Linked DNA regions of Lepisosteus oculatus. Each later gene encodes a partner of the first gene's protein in a complex. Links are inferred from orthologs where the notes say so. Each region holds a gene or a part of one and is shown on either strand. Other genes may lie near its edges. The genes, in order: cpsf3, cpsf4 and cpsf2.

The links.
Region 2: cpsf3 (region 1) and cpsf4 share a complex: the UniProt entries of both Homo sapiens proteins name them as parts of the cleavage and polyadenylation specificity factor (CPSF) complex. The link is inferred for Lepisosteus oculatus from reciprocal best matches to the Homo sapiens genes CPSF3 and CPSF4.
Region 3: cpsf3 (region 1) and cpsf2 share a complex: the UniProt entries of both Homo sapiens proteins name them as parts of the cleavage and polyadenylation specificity factor (CPSF) complex. The link is inferred for Lepisosteus oculatus from reciprocal best matches to the Homo sapiens genes CPSF3 and CPSF2.

Annotation. Positions count from the first base shown.
Region 1 is NC_090697.1:12,017,317-12,024,243, reverse strand, and holds the start of cpsf3 (cleavage and polyadenylation specificity factor subunit 3), read left to right. Parts: upstream 1-3,864; 5' UTR 3,865-3,970; coding exon 3,971-4,041; intron 4,042-5,013; coding exon 5,014-5,077; intron 5,078-5,203; coding exon 5,204-5,301; intron 5,302-5,976; coding exon 5,977-6,105; intron 6,106-6,552; coding exon 6,553-6,730; intron 6,731-6,927. UniProt on the Homo sapiens protein: Component of the cleavage and polyadenylation specificity factor (CPSF) complex that plays a key role in pre-mRNA 3'-end formation, recognizing the AAUAAA signal sequence and interacting with poly(A) polymerase and other factors to bring about cleavage and poly(A) addition.
Region 2 is NC_090714.1:10,876,036-10,883,816, forward strand, and holds the start of cpsf4 (cleavage and polyadenylation specificity factor subunit 4), read right to left. Parts: upstream 3,076-7,781; 5' UTR 2,906-3,075; coding exon 2,803-2,905; intron 2,334-2,802; coding exon 2,283-2,333; intron 2,067-2,282; coding exon 1,914-2,066; intron 1,160-1,913; coding exon 1,064-1,159; intron 621-1,063; coding exon 527-620; intron 1-526. Other genes in the region: ptcd1 (pentatricopeptide repeat-containing protein 1, mitochondrial), read left to right, coding at 4,087-4,596, 4,903-5,043, 5,699-5,917, 6,278-6,379, 6,752-7,522, 7,619-7,735. UniProt on the Homo sapiens protein: Component of the cleavage and polyadenylation specificity factor (CPSF) complex that play a key role in pre-mRNA 3'-end formation, recognizing the AAUAAA signal sequence and interacting with poly(A) polymerase and other factors to bring about cleavage and poly(A) addition.
Region 3 is NC_090703.1:23,280,345-23,288,434, forward strand, and holds the start of cpsf2 (cleavage and polyadenylation specificity factor subunit 2), read left to right. Parts: upstream 1-4,992; 5' UTR 4,993-5,176; intron 5,177-5,405; exon of another isoform or gene 5,406-5,424; intron 5,425-5,793; 5' UTR 5,794-5,822; coding exon 5,823-5,971; intron 5,972-6,130; coding exon 6,131-6,290; intron 6,291-7,251; coding exon 7,252-7,357; intron 7,358-8,090. Other genes in the region: NADH dehydrogenase [ubiquinone] 1 beta subcomplex subunit 1, read right to left, coding at 2,588-2,621, 3,450-3,594, 3,689-3,731. UniProt on the Homo sapiens protein: Component of the cleavage and polyadenylation specificity factor (CPSF) complex that play a key role in pre-mRNA 3'-end formation, recognizing the AAUAAA signal sequence and interacting with poly(A) polymerase and other factors to bring about cleavage and poly(A) addition.

The DNA.
Region 1 (6,927 bases):
ACTGGTAAAGGCCAGGGGGAAATCTGGCCAGGACGCTGGGGTAACACCCCTACTCTTTTCGAGAAACAGCCTGGGATTTTCAATGCACACAGAGTCAGGACCTCGGTTTTACGTCTCATCTGAAGGACAGCACCTTTTTTACAGCAAAGTGTCCCCGTTACTATGTGGGAATATGTTTTTCTTTGATAAAATCTGTTGCAGTTGATTAATGAAAATATTCACTTTATTCAAGTACAGTTACAATATCAGAAGTATTACCATTATGCAAGATAATTAAATAATTAGCCCCACTAAATAACTGAGAGCTCGGATGGAATAAAAACCAAATGGCCCTTAGAGTATGATGTCTGCCCTAGTCAGTCTGTGGTCAAAGGCGCACTGTAGAAACTAGAAAAGGGCTCCTGGTCTGTCTCACTGTCTCTGCTATTGAGCACCAGGTGTAGACTGCCCAGCCTCTCTGGAAGGATTTGAAGGTTGTGGAGGGCTAGGAGCACCTGCACACAAACACAGTCTAAAAATGTGTCTCCGTTGAGAGCTCATATGTCTGCTAGGTTCTGCGAAAATGAACATCCTACTAGGGCTGCCAGACAGTAAATAAAGAATAAACCGACGCTGTCGGACGTAATGGTTTATCACACTGCTTCCAATTTAAAACTCATCCACTCACATTTGAGCACGAATCACCTGACAGCTGAAATACCTGCTTAACAGTCCCTAGGGAACACTCACAGCATTTTTTAGAAATGTAATAATAGTGTAGACTATTTTGAGTTTTTTTTCCTAATTCATCCTGACTCTTTGCAAAAAGTCGATTGTAACAGTCAACTGTTCACACCACCACTTGTCTTCCATTTAGAGGCAATACGCAAGACTTGTCCTGCCTCTCAATGAAAACAGCTCCTACTGCATGCGGATGCCGTTTGAATTTCCTGTTTCCTATGCTGGAATGTCTCTACATGTTCTTCAACCATTAACATACTGCCTATTACTGTCTCTGCAGGGGTTACAGCCACTACGACCCGACTGACAATCCTACAGCAGCTGTCTGTACGGTCTCCTGAGGCTTTGCGGTCTCCATCTGTCACTCTCCGGTTTCCTCTGCTCGGAGGTTTGACTCGTGTGAATTCGCTTAACATTTCTGAACTGCAAAGGCGTGAGGCCGAGTTTTTTTTCCTGTTGCATCTGACAGGCTTTTAAAACAGTCTTTGTGAGAGAGAAAAGAAAAAGAAGTTCGGGACAATGATATAGGTGCACTCATCTGTCTCGATCTTCCCGCTGAGCTTGCCGATACGAGAAAGAAAACTAGAACAAACGGTCCCAAACATCAAACTGAAGCACTTTAAGTAACAAGAGCCATACTGAGTGGGATGCAATTTTGTACAGCCTCACAATCGGGCTGACATAAATAATCCTACCGCTCTCCCTGCCAAGTCCACTTTCGCACAACTTGCCTACAATGTAACTTTGAAGCCAGCGCGGCGTGAGAAACGCACAGCAGGTGAATGACACACAGCGGGCATCTGAGAGTCGAGCTCACTGAGAATTTCAACCCACCGTCCTCAGATCGTTAATTAAAAAAACTCCCAGCTGAAGTAACGGAAACCCGTTGCCAGGCTAAACTCTCCACCCCACCCACAACCCCCTCATCGCATCCTCGTTTCATTGACATTTCTTTCCAATCACCTTTTAACCGCACAGCCCTTCACCGTAAATCAGAAAACTGGCAGGTCGGACTGATGAGATAATTCAAGCAGCTGTTCAACTCATACCTCGTTTTATACGTGTTTAACGAGCCCGTTCGCGACGGGGCTGGGCGTTATTTCGGCCAGGCTTGTAGTCTCCGGGTCTGTGTTTTTGGCGAGGCTCGGGCAGACACGTCACTTCCTTTGGGCTCCACCCACACCGCTTAAAGGAGACGCGACCCACACAACCCCCCCGGCGAACCGGGCCCGAATCGCGGGTCGTCACGGCGCTGTGTTTGTGTGGTGAAACCCCATTCCTATTCCCGGCGTCGTGTGGCGCAAACGCCAGACAGCAGGAAGTGTGTTTATGTCTCCATGGCGACGGTCACAATTGGAAGGGCGCGCTTCGTTGCTTGTTGTAAGACGGACGAGTCCAAACCCGAGGCTCTCAAATTGAAACTAAGAGCGCTTTATTCTTTGGCACGGCCGATGAATTACAGGGTGGACAGCGAGGCCGGAACAATTAGCACGGCATTTACAGTAGCTCCAGAGATGATGGCGTGAGGCGCAGGTCCTGATTCACGTCACTGTCTCTCAGTGCGTGTTCCCGCTACTACAAACTCGCGGGAATCGCGTCACACTTTAAATCACCGCTTTATCCAACTGAGGGTCGCGGGGCGTGTAGGGCGTAAGGCAGGGTACGACAGCAGAGCACATACGCTCACACCAGGGCTAATTTCCCCAGGAGCCAATTAACCTACTACTACGCTCTGCACAGACAGCACCCCAGGTCTGGGATCGAACCCAGGCCCGCTGGGTGGACGCTGTGAGAACATGCATACTCCCCCCAATAAGGTGACCCAGACCAGATCTAGCCCAGGGTCCAAACGTTTGTGAGGAAGCAACAGTGACCTTCATGGCCCATTCCTGCCCTGACTTTAACATCCCGCCTGCAAGTGATCACAATTAAACTGCTCCAGGTCTTCAGAATTCCCATCTACCCAGATTTTTGGATTACTTAATAGCTATCTGTAAAATCAACAACACAGAGCGCCTAATACCACTTTGAATTCAAGGAAATTGATTTGCAGCCTTTCCATTTTTTATTTTCTGGCGTTTAAACGGATAATGACAGATTCATAGTTTTAATTTTGTTTACAAATTGAAATTCGTTTAAGATAAGTTTAAGCTTCTACTATATGTTGTTGTCTGTGTGTATCAGCGTGTTATTGTTAGCAGGATTGAATACTGATATATTACCAACTAGTTGTCTAACATAAGAAAGATTACAAATGAGGGGAGATCATTCAGTCCATTTAGCTTGTTTGGTAGTTAGTAGCAACTTGATCTAGATTCCAGATGATTTAGTGTGTGGCTTCTACAACATGGCTGGGTAGTTTGTTCCAGACTCCCACAACTCTTTGCGTAAAGTTATGCCTCATGTTCTCAGTTTTAAATGCACCTCCATGTAGTTTCTACTTGTGTCCCCTGGTTCATGTTTCACTGCTCATTCTGAAGAAATCTGCTGGGTTGACTTTGTTGAAGCCTTCGAGAAGCTGGGATACTTGTATCAGGGCCTCTCAGAATTTCGTCCATTTAAGAATAAAAAGGTGCAGGTCTTTCAGTCTGTCAGTGTAGGACATTCCCAGAATGTATCGTGTTGGTCTTCTCTACAGCCAGCCATGTAACGGGAGCAGGGCAGGATACACCCTGGATGCGGAAATCCTAACCACTGCATCACCCTGCCACCCTGCAATTGCAGCTGAAATCTTTTCATTAAAACTGCTGATGCTTCACTGAAAGCTGGCTTATTGAAATTCTGTTCTTCGAGTTTTCAGAACACATCACGTTTAAGTATTAGTAGTACTTAAATAAAAAGGTTACTTTAACAGAGAGCGTTGAGTAAGGAGAGGACATATGTACATTTTGATGTGAATACACCCATCACCGTTGGATTCTATGTCCCAGATAGAAAAATATGTTTCAAGGAATATTTTGCGGTTTATTGAAATACTTAGTGATACTCGAAAAGTCTAAACTGTAGTAATGAAGAACTATACTCTCTAGAGTTTTTATGCAGTAGGTACACACAGACTCACTGCGTGTATTCCGTTAGTAACAATGATGTCGGAACCAAAGATCGATAGGGATAGTTTCAGTAGGGACGTATTTTGCACGCAGAACCGGAAGTTGTCCTGTTTCGCGCAAGTGATTATGAGGCAGAGTGGTGCTCCAAGTTTTTGCTGTTAACATTGTTTCATGACTTATGAAATAGAACTGGTTGTTTAATGGCTGCGAAGCGAAAAGCCGATATTTTGGTACCAGCGGAGGAAAGCGATCAGTTATTAATTAGACCCCTGTAAGTGTGCTGTGGTTTGCGTTTGTGGGTTACAGTGAACAGCCATGAGTGCCTGTGTAATGTGTCGCGGGAGATTCAGTAAGGAGCAGTGCACCGGTATAGAAAGTAGTATGTCCAGTTGTGTAAGAGTATTTCCCACGGAAACTATTAATTTGGTGCAGACGAACGCATACTACATTGTCGGCTACTCGAAATTATTTTTGTGTTGATTTTCATTTATGTATATTTTGTACGTAATACAACGTGTAATTGTATGTAATTGATTGATACAAGTTTTCTAAACATCACAAAGACCCTTATGTACTCTTGATGATTGGGAACAAAAACAGTTCGGATACATTTCATTATACATTGGGGGTTTATCTATACAGGAATCTCAACAGAGAGTTCTTAGGTCTCTTACAGTTTTATTCATTTATTTAGTAGTCTAAAATAAATGTAGACGCAAAGGAAACCAGACTGATGTTCACATCAGTAAAGTTCATTAGTCTTAGTATTATAAGGTATTTGCTTGGACCAGTACAACTCAGTTTTCTGTTGCATATGTGGTTCCAAAATCTATTTTCCAGATGTATATCATTTTAATAGTTTTAAAAAGACAGATTCTCAATAAATAGGGTGTGCAGACTTAACCAAGAGATTAAGAAAGCTTCATTTTACAATGTTTCTCTGGTGCAACAAATCCTAGGTTCCTTACTTAGATTTCTTGAAAAAGAGAACGCACGTTTGAACTTTGTGAACATTATCTATTGGGGGACTTTTAAAGCTGTTATTGTTTTTTTCATGCTAAGCTGCTTTTTACTTTTGAATTCCCTAAAATTGTTCGTTTTGTAAATGCGGTGCATTCTTTGAGTGTACATTGTGCAGGTTTGGAAATTGGAAAAAAAGGAAGGCTCTGCACTTGCTTCATGCAGTTCCTCCTCTCGAGTCTCGAATTAAAGAAGGGTGTTCTGTTTTTCATGGTCCCCTCAGTGGCGCCGGACAGGAAGTGGGAAGATCATGCATCATCTTGGAGTTCAAGGGAAGGAAGATCATGGTAGGACACTGCCTGCTCTGTCTCAGGCTCCCCCTGCGGGGTGGGGCAGACACTCGGTGTCACAGTTCTGTGGCGGGTGGGTGACACCTGGAGAAGAGGTGCCATGCGCTGTCTCTCTTTCCCCAGCTGGACTGTGGTATCCACCCAGGCCTGGAGGGCATGGACGCGCTCCCCTACATCGACTTGATAGACCCCGCGGAGATTGACCTCCTCCTGATCAGCCAGTTTGTACCACCAGCCGCTCCGGTCGCCCTCAGCCCTGGCCCCAGAGCACCCCTTTGTCTTTTAGCCAGTCCTTGCCTTCCTTTAATCGGTCAGGCTAATTCCTAGGAACAGCCACTTCCTGGGTTTCAAGCCCATTTCAGTTCCAGTGTCGAATGTAAACAGTTCAACTTGGGCAGAACACAGAGGTGCAAATATTGCACAGATATTTTCTCTTGTTTTATGGAAAGAGCAAAACTTGTTGGGATGGTCTGATACAGTGTTGTTCCCCTCAACACAGTGTTGTTGACACCTTGAATTAGGCATCTAATAATAAGGGCTTTTTAGATTTGCATAAACACTTAATAGGTTGCTGCCTCTGAATATGCAAGGGGAAGAGAGGGGACAGCACTCTGTCTGCTGTTTTTTTTTTGTAAAAGATCTGCAGAAGAGTATTTTTAAAACTGAAGAATGAGCATAGAAGAAGGTTAAAAAAGTCGGACCAAGCAAGAATTTCATTTACAGATGCCATCAGCGGGTCTTGGGTGGTTAAAGGCTTTGCTGAAGTGAAAACATGATAACACAGGGGAGCTCCAGGACAAGAACTGACAGTCATCCTTCTGCCCAAAGAGACGTGCCCTTATTGAATTAAGACGTGTGCCAGTTCGTTATTGAAACATGCATATTGTGTCTGGTAGTTTCCACCTGGATCACTGTGGCGCTTTGCCCTGGTTCCTGCAGAAGACCAGCTTTAAGGGGAGGACATTCATGACTCACGCCACAAAAGCCATTTACAGGTGGCTGCTGTCAGATTATGTTAAAGTCAGGTGGGTGATTGTTTTTGTTTTTCTTCTTATGACAGGAAACCTCAGCATATTACTGTATGTGGATTGAAAAACGTACAATGTGTTATCAGAGTTTATACCAATAATTCATTGTTAGACTTGGATGGATCCACGTGCGAGATATTGTTAGATGTAGTGTTAGATGTCTGTCATCCTTGTATATTTTTCCTTCATCTCGTTCATCCTGTATGTGACTTCTTTCCTTTCCTGCTATGCAGTAGGGTGACCAGAAAGCTGCTTTTCCAAAGTCAAAAATTGACCTTTTTGCCAAGATTGATGTTTATGTGCCACAGAAATATAAGATCAAAGGGAACATCTGCAAAAACAATGCAGTGTGACTTAATTACCTCAAGATCACTTCAAGTATCCTTTAAATGTCCGATTGCTGTTTCTGTTTAAACACTCCCTGCCTGTTCTCTTTGACCATAGCAACATTTCAGCGGATGACATGCTGTACACAGAGACAGATCTGGAGGAGAGCATGGACAAGATAGAGACGATCAACTTCCACGAAGTGAAGGAGGTCGCAGGCATCAAGTTCTGGTGCTACCACGCGGGCCATGTTCTGGGGGCGGCCATGTTCATGATTGAAATCGCTGGTGTGAAGGTGGGACTTTGCCCTACGCTACACTGCTCTTTAACTGGAGCTGTTCGGTGCGGACGAGATTGTATTTTTGCTCCTGAGCCCTAAACACAGAAAAGCTGTAGTTCTGCTAGAGTAGATATGTGTTTTTAAACATTAAGATATCCTGCATTTTTCTTCAGTCTAGTAATATGATAGACTTAGTTTTCTGTAATGTCGTG
Region 2 (7,781 bases), on another chromosome or scaffold:
TACCAAGAAGCTGAAATCACTAAAGTACAATTAAACAGCTGTTTCAGAGGTTGAATACCGATTTAAGGATCAGTTTGCTAATGTGTAAAATTGGAAATGTGTATTTGATCATGTCTGTAACTTAGCCTCTGTGAATGGACATACCAACATGTTAATGTGACACAGTGGGCATCACCAGGGACAAGGCGTGGCTCTGTGGCTAAGGATCTGCACTGGGAGGTTGCCGGTTCAAATCCCGCAGCCGGCAGAACAATCCTACTCCATTGGGCCCCTGAGCATGGCCGTGAACCCCAACTGCTCCAGGGCCACCGTATAAATGGCTGACCCTGCGCTCCGACCCCAAGCTTCTCTCCCTGTCTGTGTGTCTCATGGAGAGCAAGCTGGGGTATGTGAAAAGACAAATTCCTAATGCAAGAAATTGTATAGGGCTAATGAAGTGATCTTATCTTATCTTACCTTCCCACATTTCAATTTGCTGAGCTGTGACACCAGATCAATACTGTTGTTAAAAATGGTCTGTACTCACTGCATGAATTTACAGTTGGGTCCATCTGGACAGAAGCCAACCAGGTAGTTGACACAGATGACTCTCCGAGTGTGTCTGTGTCTACATTGGGGACCTGTGAATGAATGACCACATGATGAGCACAAGGGTATTTCAACAGGAGAATTCTGTGACTGCAGAAGGAATCCCACTGATAGTCTCTGAGCCACATGGCTACATGTGTCTCCCAGTTTCAGCCAGTCTGTCCAGGTGACAAGTCTATGCCTCCACTGAATATGAGCAACTCGAATCCAAAGAATCTAAGACACTAACACAGTAAAGTGGTCAGATGGAAGACATGGTTGACAAGACTAGCGAGCAGTTCAGTAATTGTTACAGAGGTTCAGTTTTGTACAGTTTGGAACTTGCTCGTCAACATATCCCTTTCTGACTTAAAGTGGCTGAACCAATACATTTTACTTCACAATCCAGCTCATTTGTTCTGGGTGAAACGTCAAGTCTCTTTCTCATGGTAAACGTCTAGTAGTTTAGAGTGTTGTTTTTAAAAAAAATACTTACCGTGCTTGCAGAATCCTCGGTCATACCAGGGGCAGTCTTTAATCTTTGATTCAGGGTCAATGTGCAGGAATGGGCATTCCTTATTACTGCACTCTCCTGCAAGCACCAAAGGATTTACAGTCCCAGAGAGCTCAGTCACTGCTGAACCAAAGACGCTGCACATCTTGTCCCTGGTGCATTTACAGTTAGCTTCCCTGGGTTAATAATATACACTGCTCACTATTAACTGATCATTTTAAGTACAACTTTACACTAACTGTGTTTTCTTATTGTTTCTTATTGTTATAGTAGTGTTTAACCAGCAAAGACTCTCCAGCGAAGGAAATCATTCTTGCCTTTATTATATTTACATACATTGATGTTTTGTTTTCAAAGCATTAATGGTGTGTTACCTCTGCTCACGTGGACCGTACAATAAGCAGATCTGATGTTTTTAAGAGGGAGTCTAAAGGGAAGCAAGCAAAGTAAGAACTTGCTTCATCTCTCTCACACATACAGAGATTACATCCCATACAAGGCTGGCTTGCAGGAACAGGTATATTATTTCTTCTTAAGTGGATCAATACACCGTTAAAGTGAAAATAACAAATATATAGCACACCTGACGAGGGCTTCGCAGCCGAAACGTCTGTTTTCAGCATGGAATAAACCTTTACCTGTTTCTTTGCAGCTCCCTACTCGAACCTCATATAGCACACCTCTCGCCCCTGTCAACCGCCCGGAGATATGGTCCTTGTATTATTTTAACTGAAATGAACCCTGCTCCTCCAATACAGGTCTGTAAACAAGAAGACCCCACAATGCAAGCATCACAAAGCTCAGTCTACGCTAGCTAGCGCAGGGCACCTACCGAATTTGGAGTAGAAATAGCACTCGGGCATCTTAGTCATGTCATACTCGTGCAGGAACTCGCACTGGTCCCCCTTCTTGCAGAGCCCTCTCAGCCAGTGTTTGCAGACCACCGTCTTCTCTCCGCTGATGTGCCGGAAAGGGCACATCCCACCTTCAGGACAAAAATGACAACAGGTCTCCAGGAACCTTCTGCACGTTTAAAAAAAAAAATGATCGCGAAGGCGCCCTTCCCCAACATTAACAAGTTAGGAATCTTGTGAAAGAATTCTTCCCCAACATCAACATTTCCCCTAAAACAAAAAAATCGACCTCGTCAATGTTAGGAAAGTCTTGTGAATAAATGTGACGAAGGCGTGAGTGTCTTTACCTTTTAAACAGGCAGCTTTCAGGAAGAACTCGCACACAGCGGCACCGGACTCTGAAGGCGAAATACAACAAGCTGATGCTATTACCCTGCTCGATTAGCCAGAGTATCAAAAATATCCATTTTAAATTAAAATGTAATAGCCGCTGTATTGTTCGTCCAGTATAATAGAGGGGAACGGGCTCCACCATTATCGTTTCCGTTTATTGTATAAAATGTATTTATTTATAAAAACTTGAGACTGTTAGCTTGCAATCTTTACTTCAATTCTACATTTACAAATCGGGGCACGGGAAGGGTTTCTTTTCTAGGGAAAATCATAAACAATCAAACATTAGAGTTTAAATACTCTTTATTGAAAAGCTGAATATACTCTTAATCCATTTAAAAGTACACTTTGCCCATACTATTACACTGTGTTTTCTGGCAAGGGAATAAGAGTTAGTAGCAGCCTGCAATCCTTTTTAATTCCTTTCTGGACTGGACCAGAGACGCCGAGGAAGTATCCGTAGTTCAAACTCACTGTCCATGCCCGGGAAAGGCAGAGGTTGAGCTCCCAGCTGCTGCTCAACGGCAATCTCCAGATCAAATTTAATATGATCTACCGTGGCGATCAACTCCTGCATCTTTGATCCGTGGTGAAGAACGAACCACTGGGGTGAAAAACTAATAAATAAAACAATCGGAAAATTAAAACGCGAAATAAGACAAAACACAAATATAAAACACGGCTCTCTTCACCCTTTCCCGATTCGCTGCCTCGCTATCGCCGAAACACCCCGGACCTGAACTCTGAACTCTGAACTCTGACCTAGCTATAGACCTGGCTAATCGATCCCTGCGCAGAAGCGCAAATAACAGCTTTAAATTGTAACTCGTTTCATGTGAGTTGATTGCGTTATGGAATCGAACTACACTATGAATTACACTATTTCTATAAATAACATAATTTCGTTTTTTTTTATTCTGAATAACGCGGATATTAATATTTTCACAAATATTTCACATAACAGGAGAGAGAGAGATATTTAAAAATAAGAGAAAATGATAATATCATCTAGGTTTAATTATTAATACAAGTATCAAATGTTGTCGTGTGTCGATATATCGACATTTCGGGAGTCTTTTTGTAGTCCTTACCCGTGATCTTCAGGTCCTTGTCTCGTGTGGATGGTGGTTGCTGTATTTATGTCTATTTCTAGTTGTTACACTCAGGATCTGAAGGGCTCGACAGAGGAACACTGAAATGCACTAAGATTTATCAAAGGTAATGGTTTTTCAAATCGTTTTTCATATGATGCTTAAGACCTAGTTCCTTCTTAACTGTCTCTTTTAAATTTGCTGTTGTCTTTGAGAGGCTTGTAATACTTAAATCACACTGGATTTCGGAGTTTGCTTTAGTGGGTCCTGCTTGTAACGTTGTGGAATAAAAGATAGTACGGTTTAAAGTAATTCGAAATATTTATTTTCGAAACGCACCACATCTCTGAGCACAGAAAAGTCTTCTTATATCGCTTGACAGCCACGTTGCTTTGCTGAACTCGACCGCTTTGTGACAGTCTAGTTTTATATGGTTTTCGAATTTTTGTTTGGAAGGATTTAAAGGACATTGTATTCTTTGTATGCACAGAGATATAACAGTATATATGGTATTCATATGAACAGTACTTCATGTATTTAATTTACACAAAACGCAATTAAAGTGAAACAGCATGTTATTACCTCGACACTCCGATGATACCATTTTTTAGTAAGGTAATAACTAATAGTTTCTTTTCTCTTTCAGTGTAGTTGTCCGACGTTAAGAATGTCTAAGCTTCTGTCCTTGATGTGCTTCAGAAACCACTGCAATGCGGGTCTTCATTCTATTTCAAAATATCTAAGTATCCCCCCTGCCTTGTCTATTCTGACCTGTAAAGAGGTTCCAGGAGGCCGCCTTCCCCACTTAAGGACATATTCTTTGGGGACAGGCAGGGCTGCACAGTCAAGAAATGTCAGTGTTTCATCCTCCCTGAAGAATTGTCACAGTGCTAAGGTGACACAGAACAGTGCGCCGATGTCTGAGAGAACCAGTGACCCAGTGCCCACATGTGTGGAACTAGAGGGGTCTGACCAAGCTGAGAAGGATTTTGGGTCTTTTGCCAAATCCTATGGATCCCGGAAAGTTTTCCGTAAAATGTCGCCAGAGCTGCTGGATCTGAAGTACAGAGATGCAAGTCGGGCTGAGGAGGAAGAGGAGGTGGTGTCCAGACCAGTGCAAAGAAACACCACTTACTGGTACTTTCTTCAGTGTAAGAAGCTCCTGAAGCAGAACAAGGTAAGACGGATTTGTTGTTTTGCTTCTCAGTCTGGATTTTAAAAGAATGCAGTCTCAAACTCTGTAGGTTATTTCGGTGTGCACATGAATTAACTCCTGTCCCCGGAGCTGGTTTTACACTGTTTGCGTTTCAGCACTGCTTAAAGTATGAAAAAGACTGTGTATAATGGTTATAATTATGAGGAAAAAAAACTCTTGTAAAATGTGCTAATCCTGATTCTCAAGCGCCAGTGTTTTGGTGTCGTGTGCGTCTGGAAAAGAAAATCCCTGGTTTGTTCTGAAGAGGATTCTCTCCTCATCCTGCAGCTTGCTGAGGCTCTGGACATGTTTGAGACGCAGATGCTGAAAGCTGAGCGCCTCGAGCCAGAGGAGTACAACTACACCGTGCTGATTGGGGGCTGCGGCCGAGTGGGCTACCTCAAAAAGGCTTTTAAACTCTACAATGATGTAAGTTAAGGGGGTGTGAAAAAGCTCCACCCTTGTCCAGCTTGCCGACTTGTTGAGATTTGACTCTGCCCTAGAATGTATGCCCATAAATTCTTCCACTGTGGAAATCCACACTAAATAAAGTGTAGTAGAATTGCATTTTGAAATCCAAATATTTAGTGTATAATAATAATGATAATGTTGCTTTATTAGCCCTATACAATTTCTTGCATTAGGATTTCGTCTTTTCGCATACCCCAGCTTGCTCTCCATGAGACACACAGACAGGGAGAGAAGCTTGGGGTCAGAGGTCAGCCATTATACCGCGCCCCTGGAGCAGTTGGGGTTAAGGGCCTTGCTCAGGGGCCCAACAGAGTAGGATTCCTCTGCCGGCTGCGGGATTTGAACCGGCAACCTTCTAGTCACAGGCACAGATCCTTAGCCACAGAGCCACTGCTCCGCCTGAAGGGTTGTGTGTAAGGAAAGTTGCATATTTTAAAATCATCAGTAGCCTACATCTGGCAAAACTGTTAGAATGAAAAAATGACTATTTAAGGGCTCTAAGAGGAAGAAAAACCAGATGACTGCACAGCCTCTTTAATTACGGAGTCTAGTATGCCTATGGAAGAGTGGTGCCATGCAAGTTCTGTAAATGCATGTCTGTCTTTGTGTGCAGATGAAGAAGCGAGGCCTGGTGCCCACAGATGCCACCTACACTGCTTTGTTCAATGCCTGTGCCGAGTCTCCCTGGAAGGATTCCGGGCTACAGCAAGCCCTCAAGCTCCAGCACGAGCTGAAGAGGAAGAACATTCCACTCAACCTCATCACTTACCATGCCCTGCTTAAGACCCATGCTCTGTGCTCTGATCTCAGGGCCTGCTTCCACGTTTTCAAGGTACCAGGTCTGCCATTTGGGGTGTATGATCCCTCTTTGGTGACGCAACTCCTTCAGGATCATAGCTCTTGTTAGAAGGCTTTTTTCCCCTCATAGAATAGTGTAGTACTTGGCAGAAAGTCAGGCCAAAACTGATCTTTACCAAAAGCAATGCACATTGCCTTGTCATTAAACCAAACTCAGCTGAAGAATTTAAGTTGGAGATGGTTTTGTCTCTAATGTTAGGACTAAATTTGTAGCCAAGGCTAAGGTTGAATCTTTGGTGAAGTTAGGGATGCAGTTAGGGTTAGAGCTGTTATTGGTAGTGTGTCAGGCACAAGTTTATTCTGCTTCGAGAAATATTATTTGTTGTCTTTGTAGGAGATAGTTCAAAAAGGCCATGCGATCACACAAGAAACCTTCAACTTCCTGCTTATGGGCTGCCTCAAAGATAAAGAGCATGGATTTAGGTTTGCACTGCAGGTGAGAGAGAATGACTTCCATTTGATCATCTCAACAAACTGCTCTATCCCATGTGAAACGGATCACAAAAGTAATATCCTAGCTTCCTGTTGCAAAAGCAACTTCACAACAATTTTTATATTGTACAGAGTATTCATAGTAAAGCTCTTTTATGAGTTATTAATGGATTAATTACATGATATGAATGATATGTACAATTTGAAGAATATTAACATTCTCTAAATTTAAAACGATCATTTTTTGAGTCTCTCTGGGGTAGCACCGTACTTCCTAGATTGTTGTGCACCATTATGCTAAAAGCTGTACATTTAATTAAACCATTTTAATGGTGTTGCTAAATGGTCTCACATTTTCTTGTAATCTGCTCCACAGGTTTGGCGTCAGATGCTAAAAGTAGGGATAGAACCTAATTCTCACAGCTACAACCTGCTACTTCGTGCTGCTCGGGATTGTGGGATAGGGGACTCCTCAGTGGCTTCCCGTCTACTGCTGAGTAATGAAGAGGCAGTAACCCCAAAGGTCACGAGAGGACGAAGAGGTCAGAAGGTGAAAAATGGAAAGGAGTGGACATGTGCAGCAACCCTAGATGTTGATGCTCTCGAAAGCCAGCTTTTTCTGGAAGCAAGTACTAGGAGGGGAGAGGAATCGCTGCAGGTTGGAAATGTAACTGCTCATTTAAACGAGGAAATGTTAGACAAGCCAGTGATGGAAAATGACCTTAACCCGAATCAGAAGTACTTGAACCAAGATGTATTTTCAGACTTGGTGCCTGTGAACAGAAACCATGTTACTCCCATTGAATCTACTTCCCCCCTGTCTTCAGTGACCAGTGAGAGTCTACCGAACCTACTTGACCTGAGAATTGATTACACAAATATTATTTCCCTTGGGTCTGTCAGGAGTGCTTCTGACAGGCTGGCCTTGATGGGCAACATGGAAGGTTTTCTTAGCAAGATGAAAGGCCACGGACTGAAACCTGACATCAGAACTCTGACTTTGTTAGCTGACATCGTGGAATCTGGAAGCCAGTCAGAATCCAGCTTGCTGTCCATCTTTGAAGAACATGGATTAAAACCAGACATTTTATTCTTCAACACCTGGGTTCGGAAAAAGGCTAAACTGGGTGATCTAGAAGGAGCCAAGGTAAAGAGGAGTCTGCATTGTACTGTGCTGCATTGTGTTAAGTGCCATAATTCAATGCGGTCTTCTCTAACTCTTAAAATTATTCTTTTCTTTCAGGCTCTGTTATCTGTTGTGTCTGAGAGAGCTCTGGAAGCTAATACTCATACTTTCTGTAGCCTGGCTATAGCTTGCAGGACCCAGAAAGACGGCCTGCAGTTGTTGTCTGATATGCAGGTAAGAAAAACAGCCATGCACATTACTAAAGTAGATCCAACACTGA
Region 3 (8,090 bases), on another chromosome or scaffold:
CCTAAGTTACAACTTAAAACAGTTACAAAATGCATACATAGAAACAAGTTGGTAATAAAATCTTTGACCTTCTAGGTGATTTGTTAAATTGTACTTCTTATGAAAAACATTTTTACCTGACCTGACGAACCTAGGGTGGCAACTGGGGTGGTGCTCCGGTTTCCTCAAAGACTCCAAATATATACTGGGAGGTTCATTGGCTTCTGGGAAAACTGCCCCAGGTGTTAGTGTGTGTCTGTGTGTGTCCTTTAGTGGACGGGTGTCCTGTCTGGGATGTCTTGCCTTCATGTCTCCTCTTGCCTAAGACCCTTTACTTCCCAGGATAGCTTTCAGCTTCCCCCATGATAGTGGTTAGAAAATGAGAGTATGGATGAATTGTTGGATGACAATATGCCAAAAATAAAAGAATTAAAGCTCTTGTTCTAATAGTTAATATTAATTCTAATAAGTCCAACCCTGGTCCTGAAGCGTTTCCATTCAGCAGGTTTTACAGGCAGCCCTTAAATCATCAATTTTTGCTGACCTGAAGCAATTTAACTGCAATCTGTTAAACAGGTGGAACAAAATTCAGAATATTATTCTTCACTCAGAAGACCAGAAGACCTAAATAGATCTGCTTCAACAAGTGTTTCTCTGATCTTTAAATAGCAGGTAATTTAGGGTGTCCTGTAAGGTTAACACAACTGGGGCTCTTCTTGCAAGGAGGGATCTATAGATGTTTGGAACACATTTCTCCAAATTTAGAATTGAAAATCAGCCTCCTAATAAAAGTAAGGACTCGTACAGGAATAGTGTTTTTGTTTAGCAAGAACTGACCAAATAAAATGCGTATTGGCATTTGTTGCGAGTATCCACCTGGATCACCCTGGACTCTTACGGACTTGATTTGAAACAGTTGTTCACTTCGTTGATCTCTATTAGCACTGTTTCTAGGTCTTTATTCACTGAGGATTAAATGTTTCCTGTAAACTCTGGTGAGGTGTGGCCTTCCAGGATCAGGAGTATTACTCTGGCCAAAGATTTGAAACGATCTGAATCTTGACAACATCCAGTCAGGCTTATGGAAATTCACTTTGCCATTTAGCGGCAAGCTGAAAGTCACACAGGCTAATTATAGTGTATGCATCAATACAAGATGAAGCCACATATAGGCTGATGCATGCATGTCTTCATCTTTCCTAATGTTGCAGTAGCTGGTTGCCAATTTCCTAATTTGCCGATTTGTAAATTGACAGGTTTAAACTTGTGTTTTTTTTAAATGCACCAGTACATACAGTAACAAAGATAGAATACTTTTTTCCCCCTCATTCTTATTTCTACTGGAAAAGCATAATCAGATACAAGGTAAGAGCCTCATCATAAACCAAGATGGTTCAGGACTTTGTAAAGGGGAAAATGAATTTCTTATTTGTATTCAACACAGTTTTTCCATGGAAGTATTTAGGTGTGGTTGTTGTGTTCAATATGAGTGCGCACTGTTGCTGGTTTGTCTCGACACCTTGTAAATGTTTCAGCCATTTCAGACTTGTGTTTTTGCATTTTCCTGTAATTCCCTGTTGTCTTACAATGTGCGACTGCGCATCCAGGAAAATGGGTACATTTTTCAGTTGGAGATCCACCATCAAATATTTCTCACCCAAAAGCTTAATTCTGGATGATGAACTGGGTAGGGTCCCTCACTGGAGATTTAGTAACATGAACAAAAGCACTTTTTTGAGGTTCATTTCTTTCAGAAAGGGGTGGGTTCCTGAGCAAAAGTTGTAACTTGTAAATGACTACCACTGTAAATCCCTAATTGCAGGATAATAAAACTAGACTCACTAAACATCTGACTCTGTGTATGGTCTTACAAGTTACTTGGGAACTACAGGATTGAAATGAATGAAAACTGTTATACTGGAACACCAATAAAGAAAAACATTTAACTGTCTCCAAGATAGCTGGAAGGTACATCTATAAACTTCACTTTTTCTTTTAAAAACTTGGGCAGTCTTTGCCAATTGCTGGGATTGAGAGTGGTAAGTAGCGGGTGGTTGGAGCTGCTGCATGAGAGCTCCTGCATCCTGGGAATGATCCCAGTCAAGGTGCAGCTTCTGTGAGGAGTTTGCATAATGAGTTAATACCAGATTCTCCAATTTCACCCATGATACAGAAACATGCTGGCAAGGTTAGTGGGTATCACTAATTTCCTCACATGTGTATGACTGGTCACCTGCCCAGTACCCCGTGCCTCCAGGCTACACAGTCTAATAATGCTTAATTTACATTCAATGGAAATAATCACAAGAATTGTAATAAGTGCCTGAACACAAACGGTACACACTCCTTTCAGATGGCACCATTCATAACATCTTATTCGGTTACAGACATTTCCTTTACATACACACAAACTTAAAAAAGGAAAAACACTTCTAGATTATTTATTTTTTTCCTGCCATTACATGTTATTACAAAACACATCTTCCAAAAAGCCACCACGTGAACAAAAACGCAGAATGTCACATCAGATCAGAAATGAAGGGAAATTCTGGCAAACGTTACATCAACATTTTAGAGGTTTCCGGTTTTGTGTGTTGATAGGAGAGGTTTACTTCCAGGTCACTTCCCCTGGTTTCAGTTCCCTGCAATTACAAGTTAAGAGCATCTTAATGAACCTTTCTAGCACATTTACTCACACTACATTCCTCAGACTGGTTTTAGTTTTGTCTTAAGGCAATCACATTTTTGCAAAGTGAAAGATTTATTGGCATCGGCAATGAATAACAGTGGTGATAAAGTAATAAGAAAAAAAAAATGCATTTTCATACCCGAGGACTTTGAGGAGCATAGTATAAGGTTGTGGGGAAAAAAAAATTATGAAAATCCAGGCAGGCTACCTATGTCCACATACATGTAGAAAGAAGAATTATTTAAAGGCTGCAATAATATTTAGTGTTATTGTAACCGAGATGATATCCCCTCTTTTCTCTTCATGAAACCTTCCCTTTCTCTTTGTGCTGACTCACCAGGGGGGATCACTCTCTGTGCCTCAGACTGGTGATCACATACTTTGCAAACTCTGTTCTTTACAAAACTAGCTTGAGAAAAATTTTTTTCAATAGTTCTGGACTTCTTAACTAATAAAGAGAACAGCTTTGAAGCAAGTACAAATTCTAAAAATCTAGTTTCAATATCACAATTTCATACTTTTCAATTGTTAAATGTGTAACTTTTCAAATGTTAGACAAAGACCTGTTTTTTGAATACTCTATACTGGGGAACACTAATTTTTCCAGAATGCTGCCTGAGTAAGGCACTGATTTCTGTCCTCTAAATCCCCTTAAGTCAGGATTGTAATTTGCTTATGAAATCTGAAGGGTTATGATATTCCATGACCAAGATGAATATAGTATTCTGCTTCTATATTGTAAAAGCAAAGGCACACCATGCGACCAATCAATGAAACCAACCTCTTGTACAACATGCTCTTGTTTCTAAAAGCTGTGAGTTTCTCATCATTCCTTCTGTCCATATAAATCCCAATCACAAAGCCAAGGGGGACGAGAACGTTGACCCAGTGCTCTCGTAACATATTCACCAAGTTCACCATGGTGCCTAGGAGACAAAATGCTCATTTGTGTTACAATCTAACAAAAGGTAGAGGTCAAATGGCTACTCAATGTAAAAGATGCTCAAATACAATTTTTACATCTGATAAATGCCTGTATTCTGAGAACCACGATCAAGCACATTGCTCCTGGCTCTTCTGCTCTGGCTTGTAGACAATGGCCAAATGCCACTGCTGAATTTCCAGTACAGCAGATTTTAGTCTTCTACTGCACAACACTGATGAAATACACCTGACTGAACATCTGCAGACACACAGAATGCGCAGTTATAATCTTGTCATTAATTGCAACCTACAACAACATCTTGGAAATATCAGAGGGTTCAATCAACACGGAAACTTACAAGCAAATTCTAGCAATTTAAACTTTTCACACTGTGTAGCTATTTGGCCTATAATAACAATTTAACTGTTCAGAACTGCATCACGCATAAAGTGGTATCTGACAGACATGAGCCTCCTGTGCCAAATTTATCATGCAGAATAGTGGAACAAATCTTATATAAAATTGTTAACATTTCGCACTTAATGTCCTATGAAAAATATCTTCTGTGCAGATCGATTCGGCTTCAAAAATACTGGTGAGATAACTTTTAATAACTATACTTAAAGATTCGAAAATATTGATATCCAAGTTTATGATGTCAAGCCAAAGCAAATTCTTAAACTGTCTCGTTTAATGAAGAAAACAGCTTTCTGATAAACACTAGTGATTAGATCATTAATGCATTACATTACAGCAACATTGTATTCGGACAGCGCTGAACACTCAGATCCTCAAGGAAACATCTGACTGGTTAATTTCTTTTAAACAATATTAAAATAACATTTCATATTTACGACGACATGTCAATAGCACTTTAATCGAAATAAGAGCAAAAGGTAAAACTAACTAAGCTAACAAATATGAATGAACTCTTTTACCTTCTGTATGGATTTTGATGTTCAGGCTTTTTATAAGACAAATATATAAGCTAGTAAAATAGAATCGTTAGATTTTAATTATTGTCAGTAAAAGGTCCTATAAGATTATCAGACAAAACAGTCTTTAAAACATAGGTTATACAATTAATGCGTTTTTCTCAGTTTCGCATTTTAACAATATATATACAACTCATACCTTCCCCTAGGTCAACCGAAGGCAGGCCCGACTAAGAGGACATTGGATTGAACCACTTTCTTAAAATGCGGGAAGAGTAAAGCCGTGAATGGGAATACTTACTACTTAAGTAATTTAAAAAGCAACAGAGATCATAACATATACATTGTAAATTATTATTGCTTTACATTTGTTTGCATAAATAACCGTGCCACCGATTTTTACCGAGAATATCTTGAAGTAAAAACCACCAAATCTGCAATGGTATATCCGGATAACCTTTCACCTCTATTTTAGTTTGCAATGGCCGCTTTGTGAGAGCCGGGTGTGTGGCTCATTGTACGCGTTTAAAATTATGTAATCTAAACATATATTTCATCGGTAAAAACCAGAATGTAAAGGTTAAACTTTGTGTTTATGAAGTGTTTTTATGGTATGTTTATATCAAATTTCGAAGGGTACATTTTAAGGTGTGTGGCCTGTCGTGATTGTTTATAGTTTTGCCCGTAATAACCATAAGCTTGTTATTGTCAGTATTTTTATTTGATCGTTCCCTATCTAATCAATTATTTTGATCTAATTGTCCCCCTTGCTACAGTAAGCAAGCCGCCACACTGAACCGAAACCAACTTTAAAAAAACAAGTTTATGGTGATTTCACAGAATGCAGTTCGGTCGTCTAATTGTTGTGTGTCGCTGTTTAATGTGGTCTTATGACGGTGTGGTATAACTTTAGAAATATTGCGATATTTACCTCGTTGTAAAATATGAAATTTAGTCTAATGCACAGCTACAGTGACAACGTATTACTCAACGAAGCGAAATGTTCGCAACTGAAGCCAAACATTTAGATAAAACAATTCCGCGGTGTATCGTCACAACTCTGCCTAAATATTTTCTCCTGGTTGATATTTTAAGGGAATAGGAAGTATTATAGAGTTCATATTTTGAGTTGTATATCGGTGTTAGTGTTTCCGATCAAATGAAAATGATAACACATGTTCATATATTAATTTTTTCGTTTGTAAATTCTTCCCCTATTATTTCCATAAGTGTGGCTCTGACCTAATATGTTTATTATCCTACAGTGTGCCAAGTGTTGCTAGCATAAAGCAAAATGACCTCCATCATCAAGCTGACGGCGATTTCAGGGGTGCAGGAAGAGTCGGCGCTGTGTTACCTGCTTCAGGTCGACGAGTTCCGCTTCTTGCTGGACTGCGGGTGGGATGAGAATTTCTCCATGGATATAATCGACGCAATGAAAAGGTCTGTTTACAGTATAACCTTACTTAATGGATAGATTCAGCTGTGTTGCTTATACAGCAGAACTGTGCGCTGACGACAAATTCTGCGCCGTGAACATCAGCCAGTGACATTTAACTAAGATCTGTAAGGATTTAAGTTTGTTTAATTTTTTTATTGCAGGCATGTCCATCAGGTTGATGCAGTGCTTCTCTCCCATCCTGATCCTCTTCACCTGGGGGCTCTTCCTTATGCTGTGGGGAAGCTGGGGCTGAACTGCACAATTTATGCTACCATCCCTGTGTACAAAATGGGACAGATGTTTATGTATGACTTGTATCAGGTAATGGAGACTTGTATCTCTTTTTGTCAGTAATAATTGAGTTATGAAGAGTCATGACGTATGTTTATTCATGCATTGAAAACATGACTTGTTGCTGCAAGATGCAAAACACTAGAAGATATTCTTCATTTAAATTACCAGGAGGCAATTATTTGGATTTGTTTAGGAAGTAATCCATTTTTACTATGATGTAGTTGCTGGAATTTATGTTTTGCTATGTACAATGATTCTTGTCAGTGATTTGTACACATGATACTTATTGAGGGGTGGCACAGTAGAATTTGATGCCTTAACATACATCCACTGCCCTTTCACTGGCTCCATATAAAAGAAGCATGTTTTATAGTCAGATAATATCCTGCCATGCATTTTCTAACTGCTTCATCCAATACACGGTTGCCGGGGAAACCAGACCATATCCTAGCAGGCAATGGGCACAAGGTGGGGTACATCCTGGATATGATGCCATTCCGTTGCAGGATGCACACAGACATGTGTACACTTACAGATAGGGCCAATTTTTCCCTGAAGCCACTAAACTTACCAGTATTTCTTTGGACTGTGGTAGGAAAACCACATGAACATGAGGAGAACATATAAACTCCACCCCTATGCTATCCACTTCACCCCTGTGCTGCACGCTATCATATATTGTGTGCTTATTCATAATGTATGATCTGATGTGTAATGTTATACACTTGTTATTTTTCATTTTGTTTTCTAAATGTCTGTCCTGGAAAATTACATATGAATGTTCTCAGGTGTTGTAGTGTTTGATGACCAGTGTCCATTTGTACCTAATGCTGGCAGTGGAGCTGAAGGCCATCTTGTCCAGTGTAACTCGCAGTTTCAAAACAGCAGCATTGTTTTAAGTGTAGTTAACCTGTAGAGGATTGTTGAGCACTTGGAACAGTGCACAATGTTGTTGTTTCTTAACAGCAGTTGTTGTATTTTTTCTTAGTCTCGTCATAACACTGAGGATTTCACCTTGTTCACCCTGGATGATGTGGACTCAGCCTTTGACAAAATACAACAGTTGAAGTATTCACAGATTGTCAATCTGAAAGGTACAAATCCTGCAGTAAACCAAATAATACAGATACATTTACAGATAATTTTACTTTTAACTCTTATTCTTAGGGGCCCCCTTAGAAAAATGTCTAGATATTACTAGTAAGGTCTTAGGTTCTACATATTTATTATAAACTCCTGATTTAATTTGACTGTTTCTCATTTTGAGGTTGCACATAGACTTGTTAGAAATAAGACAGATTTGCTTTGTCCAGTAGGTTTTCTTTGTTGGGGTGCTCAGGCATTTCACCTCACTTCTGTTTAATCAGCCCTTTTAAGTTGACCTTTTTAGTTGAACAGCTTTAACTATATATTTTTTTGTTATTGGTTTACAGGTTTGGAAACTTTTAATCAAATTAGGAATGGTACAAATTCTCTTACCATTGCTTGCTTGTCAGGCATAATAAGGGACTCCAAAAATATTGTAAATCAATAAATACATGTTATAAAAAGACCAATTATACAATTCATGAATCATATTGTTACAAATGGGGGGTTACGGAATTGACAGAGGTTTAGTCAGTAAGTAAAATAATAATTCTCAACTTCTAAGTGATTTCACCAGAATATACCTGAGTGGTTGGTATAATTGGAGTGAATTCTTTATTCTCTGACACAGCTTTGGTGAAAGGAGAAATGATCTAGGAACACTTGATTAAACAAATATTTATTACAATGACAAAACACAAACTACAGTACAAACAACAGAACATACAACACACAAGTTAC